2 linked regions of the Xenopus tropicalis genome follow. The protein of the gene in region 1 interacts with the protein of each later gene in a biochemical or structural test. Links are inferred from orthologs where the notes say so. Each region holds a gene or a part of one and is shown in the gene's direction. Other genes may lie near its edges.

Region 1 (2,886 bases):
CTCTTACAAAAGGGCTGGTATTGGTATCTTTTTAGAGTAGCATCTGCCTGAGAATTTCATCCATGCATAGCAGTATTTAAAGGGGAACTAAACCCCAAGTCCCAAGTTTTTCTATACAAGTGCAGTATTTCAAACATACTGTAGCCCCTAGCCAGCTTGCACAGTCCCTTCCTTTAACTCTTCCCCCAATCTCTCTTTCTGCAGGTGCTGTAAAATACTTGGAATGCTCTGCCCTTACGCAGCGAGGGTTGAAGACTGTGTTTGACGAAGCAATCCGAGCAGTGCTGTGCCCACCTCCAGTCAAGAAGCGAAAGAGAAAATGCCTGCTGTTGTAATAACTCCCACATGCCATCTTCTATCCCAGCTGAGTCTGCAGGCTCTGATGGGATCATTGACTCAAATGCCAATTCCCGACCCTATTTGTGATAATTCATTTATTGCCTATAAATATAATCTTTGAATTTCTCCAATTCTTATTTTCACCCTCGTTCCTATTAGTGACAAACATTTTTCCTGAGCCCATTTAAATCCTGAATAGCAGCTCAGTCCTCTAGGCCTTATTCACAGTAAATGATCTTTTTTTGCTGTAACTAATCAATTGTTGCCAAATGTTTAACCAACTCATTAATGCGTATAACATGAGCCATCCACAAAGGAACGGGTTTTTTTTTGGGAAAAATGTACCTTTTAGATATGAAGCAGTATGGTGCTTTACTGCTTATATTAAATCCTTTCTTATCCTTTCATTCACTGTATCACACTGTAAATCAACCAACGGCTCCTTTAGAGATGTTTAGAACACAGTGTATCCTCTTACTGCGTGGGGGGAAATGTCATAGTCGGTTTAAGGGTACTAATCTGCTCTTCTGGCTACAATTTGTATTACGATGGAAATGTAACCATAGGTTTTGGGGTTTACTAGTGGAAATAAGTGACAGTATTTAAACATGACAGCGACGAAGCATCAGCTGTAGAATCTCATGACTGCAGTAAGAAGGGTTGCTATAGGTAAGTATTTGAGTTCTGTTGTCGTTTGGTTTTCCTTTACTCATAGGGCATTTGTTTGCACCGTTTTGTTGCTGGGGGTGACCAAACCATCTTCGATAAAGCCATCCAGCTTTAGGCTAATGGACACGGGGCGTGACTGCCTCTGTAATTTGGCTGAAAACCGCATTGGTCCTATCGCCTGTCACTGCTGTCCATAGGGATCTATGGGATGTATGCTGTCTAAAGCACATGTAGGGGTGACATCTGCTTAGACTGTGCTTAGGTCTGCGTGTCACTGCTTTAGGCCTTGCAGTTTCCTTATTTCTCAATGGGAAGCAGTAACAGGCAGAATGAGGGTGTTTTGGGCGCTGCTGATTACAGTAATGGCCTGTGTGCCATAGATCATGATGTAGGATAGGCAGTCTGTGTGCCTTCCAGCTGCTGCAGAATAACCACATCCCTGACAGTAAATACGTAAGAGTTTCTGCTGCAGCCAGAATGCCAAGATTTGCCTTTCCCTGTCCTGGGCAGTTACTGCAGAGATGCTAAATCCAGGGGTATGGGGCTGGCGCCTAGGCCAATGGTTGACACTGTTCGTGTGTACCTTTGTGGCAAGTAACTGTATTGTCATACGGTTTTGCAACTTTGATTCCCACATATCCTAAGATGTACAAGCTCTTCATGGTGGCTTCTTTGTAGATTTGATAACTTGTATTTTATTATCTTTCTGATTATTGTAATTTGCAATTTTGTAAACTGACAAATTAAACCTAATACTGTTTATCCATGTTCCTTTCCTTGCCGGTGTGCGAGCAATGGCCTTCTTCCTTCTATTAACACTAGGTGTAAAAATCATGTGTCACCGGGTAGCAATGTGCGTGCATTTACTCATCCATGTCACCGGCGGTGTGCCACAAAAGCAGGGGAGAAGGCACAGAAGTGGTTAACTCACTCCAGACGTATCTCTGTACTGACAGACCATGATGTAACGCGTTTTAACTTTCTTTTCACTTTTTGTGAAACCTTTAATGCTTTTATTAATCCTGTCCTTAGGTGTGTGAGCGCCTGTTAATATGGCTGCGCACTGCTGAACACTAGCAAGTACAAAACTGAGACAACTTTCTGTCACTTGAACAAACAAGAGAATTTGCAATTGTTACGAGAACTCGTGGACAGTGTTTTTACATTGATCTTTTTGCTAATGCAATTTAGTGTTTTACATGCATGTTTGAATTAATAAATTCTTAAACCACAGAATATGCGCCTGGGTTTTATTTTTCCTTCTGTAGCACCGTGCCTGTGTGACTGGTTTCACTGTGAAAGTTGTTTTGTTGTTGTCTTGGGCAGCTACAATTATCATTTTAGATTTATTGCAGATTCTTAGAAAATATTTAAAAAATCTGTTTAAATAGCTAGCATTTGTACTATATACACAGGTAGATTAAAGCCGACCATTTGTATCCTTCAGACCAAATCAGAAGCTTATATGTCCATGTATAGGTCCCTCCGACAGGCCTCCCCTTACCAATATCTGTCTGAAAATTGGCCAAATGTCAATCAGGCAGGTTTGATTTTCCTGTTGGATTGAGGACTGCATCACCCCTCTGATGGTTTGTATTTCCATCATTGTATTGTGATCATTTGGGCCTAGGGCCAAACGACTTGATTAGCTCTATGATCCTTAGCTGGACATATTGGGGCAGATCTGCTCATTTGGCATGTGTTTGGCCACCTTCACAGGCACTCATTTATTTCACAAATTTATTTAGTATTGATATACCATCGCATTAAAATCAGTTTAAGAAATGGCCGGCCAGCCTACCATCATTCACAACCACATATAATCACATTAATACCATAAGTGTACTGTATAGCAGGAGGTAAAAAATTAAAAATCAA
Region 2 (3,659 bases), on another chromosome or scaffold:
TAAAATTACATTGCAGGTATACCACTTATGCATGTTCTTGAGCAATTCTGACAATGCCTGAAGCTGGCCATAGATTAAAGATCTGCTTCTTTTGGCAAGGACATCAGACCTAAGCCAGCAATTATCATTTGGGCCTACAAAAACCTGTTAGGAGAGGATTGAATCAGTGTGCCTATGCGGTCCTTGCCCAGTGGGACTCTCAATCCTTTTCTCTAGATGCCTGACTGATTTTTGGCCAAATATTGATTGGGCAGTTTCAGTACTTGGGCCAATTGCCGACTCAGAAGGGAGGGGCAGAGTTGGAAGCTTTTATTAAGCCCTGTATGACCGATGTATTAATATATAATATGTCCAATATTGTGGACTGCATAGCTACATGGCAGAGAACATTCAGTGATAAATGTATGTTTATGCACAGGGGTGGGCCAAGCCGATCGGGCACCTTAGATAACCTAGTTGGCCACCTCGCCCCTGCACCCTCCCCCCATGCCAGCGTGTGTGGGGAATTTTTTTGCCTTTTGAGACAAACTGTAGACTGTAGAGGCTTCAATAAACACTGATCATTTTTTTTTTTTTTTTTTAACTGAATCAAGATAATTGAATTAAAACCGAAATGTTGTTGGCATCACTACTGTGTTTGCTTAAATTTTTTGTCTTATTAAGTTCTTATACCTTTTTTTCAGGATGTTGTCTCCCATAGTAAAAAATTAACAAAGAAGAACAAGGAGCAACTTGCAGATATGATGATGTTAAACAAGCAAAGGGGAGGTCTGAAGGCCCTGAGCAAAGAGAAAAGGGAAAAATTAGAAGCTTACCAGCATCTCTTCTATTTGCTGCAGGTAACTGTGGCTCCAAATGAGAACAAATGCAGCTCCTTTTGATTGAGCATTTGAGTTCACTTTGGAGGTTAGGCTTAAATTGCCATATTTAGTTTGTGGGGTGAAATTCATTTACAGGAAAGAAGATGATGTGCCACCATTATCCTTTATTCTGGATTAGTGGAATAGGCATCTAGCAGAGATAATTAAGGCTAAGTATAATTTCTTGTAATGTTTAAATGCTTCTGCTAGGTTTGAAAGAGCTAATGGACAATATTTTGCAGATGAATTCTAGTTATCCGCTTAAGTGTTTCTGGAATAGAGAATGTGTTGCTGTTTATGCAGGTTTGCTGCTCTCTTAGCCCTTTTTTCTTCCCTTGCAGATACATGTTTGTGGGGCATCCCACACAATACATGTATATGAAACTGTTAAAATAATTCCAACAGGCCTATGGGTGCCAATGTGAAGTTATTCTATGTTATTGAGACAGGGACTAAGAACTTTAGTAGAGATATTTGCATAGATGGGTGATTTTGTGCTGACCATTCAGGGCACTGCCATTCTATTTAAATGATTACCCCAGAAATGATTAACAAAACTGCTGGTACTATTTGAAGCCACATTCTGGTATAGTTTAAAAGATATGCATTGGATTTGGCAGACAGAGGGGAATAATTGAGCATTGCAAGAGGACAGTAATATACCTTACATATTATTTTCTTTCATTACAGACAAACCCTACCTACTTGGCCAAGCTTATTTTCCAGATGCCTCAGAATAAATCCACCAAGTTTATGGACTCTGTCATTTTTACCCTTTATAATTATGCATCCAACCAAAGGGAGGAATACCTGCTGCTTCGTCTCTTTAAGACAGCCCTTCAAGAGGAGATTAAGTACGAGTTTCTATTTGTGAAAATATATTCAGTCTACTTGGGGAAATGCATTTAGAAGTAAAATGAAGATACAATATGGTTTACAATAAACACAATATGCTGCATGCATGTCTCATGGAAGCTGCTGGTTTCAATGATCCTGCTAAAACTACAGTATCAAAAGTTCATTTTAAAGTATTGGCTCTGTATGAACCATAAATTCAAGCTGTATGTAATGGCAGCACAACGTACTAGAAAGTACACATTTGTAAAAACTTGCAGTCAATGGGAATCCCTGTGGAATTCTGTGTGTCCATTATTTGTTTGGTGTTGGCGTGTGTATGTGTAGAGTTATTGTACTGTTCCATACTTTGCCATGTGTGTGTCCAGGGTAGCTGTTTAGAGTATGTTCCCTCTAACTCTATTTTCTGGCTGTTTCCTGCATATGCTAAGATATGGTTCTCTGTGACTATACAAAATCAGATAGCACTGCACTTAAATGTGTTATAATCCTGTAACATTTTCTGTGTCATTGCAAGAATTCATTGCCTTGTGACATAATGCTGGCTGTTTTCATTGGTCTCTGTAGATCTAAAGTTGATCAGATTCAGGAGATTGTAACAGGAAACCCCACCGTTATAAAGATGGTGGTGAGTTTTAATCGTGGTGCCCGTGGGCAAAATGCGCTAAGACAGATACTCTCCCCTGTGGTGAAAGAGATTATGGATGACAAGTCTCTGAACATCAAAACTGATCCAGTTGATATATACAAGGCCTGGGTCAACCAGATGGAATCTCAGACTGGAGAGGCGAGGTGAGCTTTTTCTAAGGCTACAGTACAATTCAGCATCTTGAAATATCCTATTATTCTTGTCTTCCATATCTACACAACTCTAATTTCTAAGTTCACAGGCTGAACTAGAATTGTATACTATATGAATTGTAAATCAGACATTCACTTAAATGGGTTGTGCTTTTAGCTTAGGCATACATAGACATGCAGCTCAGACAAACATTTTCTGATATTGGCTTCCCCTTTGGCTCTCTGTATTTACAGTAGCACAGTGATTTAGCTATATGCCTATTTAAGCTACATTTTCCAAAACTTACTCCTTTGTATTATGCTAACTGTATTATATAAAAGTTCAGTGCTGTGTACCCAAGCCTCACTGTATATACATATATACATATACATACACACATACTCCATTTGCACTTACTGTTATCTTTATCTGCCTCAAATGTAAATGTGGATCTTGATGCATAACTAGTGCCGTAAAGTCGATTTTTTTGTCTCTTTGTCTTTTAGTAAGTTGCCGTATGATGTGACACCTGAGCAGGCAATGTCTCATGAGGAGGTGAGGTCTAGACTTGATGCATCTGTGAAAAACATGCGAACTGTGACAGACAAATTTCTTGTGGCCATCATTAGCTCTGTGGACAAAATACCGTGAGTTACCTAATCTAGTTCACTTTTCTCCCCACCTGCCCATCCTCTCCTATGTGTCCTGCTAACTGTACTATCTATTTCCCCACAGCTATGGCATGCGTTATATAGCCAAGGTTCTGAAAGACACGCTGCATGAAAAGTTTCCTGATGCAGGAGAGGATGAGTTACTCAAGGTCAGCTTCAAGACAAAATTAATTTTGTTGAGTCCGTTGTATTCATAAGCACAAATAACCTAGGTCTCAATTGGCAATGAACAGTATTATTAGTTAAGCTCTCATATTACTATATTAGTACTCTTTTTATTGCATGTTCTTTCTAAATTCTGAACAGCTGTTGAAATTGCCTATTTCTCCATTGTCTGCTTGGGGGACACAGGAACAGTGCAGTATAGCTGGTACCACTAGGAGGCAGGACACAACAATACAAGAAGAGCCATCTCCTACTCCACTGACTATATGCCCAGCAGGCAGAGCCCAGTTCAGTTTTTGTTGTATCCTCAGGAGGTTAGGATGTGTA

Evidence for each region.
Region 2: the proteins of rac1 (region 1) and iqgap1 form a complex in vitro, tested with the Homo sapiens proteins (3 studies listed by BioGRID). The link is inferred for Xenopus tropicalis from reciprocal best matches to the Homo sapiens genes RAC1 and IQGAP1.

Annotation. Positions count from the first base shown.
Region 1 is NC_030685.2:25,471,261-25,474,146, forward strand, and holds the end of rac1 (ras-related C3 botulinum toxin substrate 1), read left to right. Parts: intron 1-204; coding exon 205-335; 3' UTR 336-2,236; downstream 2,237-2,886. UniProt on the Homo sapiens protein: Plasma membrane-associated small GTPase which cycles between active GTP-bound and inactive GDP-bound states.
Region 2 is NC_030679.2:106,860,137-106,863,795, reverse strand, and holds part of iqgap1 (ras GTPase-activating-like protein IQGAP1), read left to right. Parts: coding exon 1-16; intron 17-683; coding exon 684-839; intron 840-1,550; coding exon 1,551-1,714; intron 1,715-2,282; coding exon 2,283-2,507; intron 2,508-3,002; coding exon 3,003-3,143; intron 3,144-3,231; coding exon 3,232-3,316; intron 3,317-3,659. UniProt on the Homo sapiens protein: Plays a crucial role in regulating the dynamics and assembly of the actin cytoskeleton.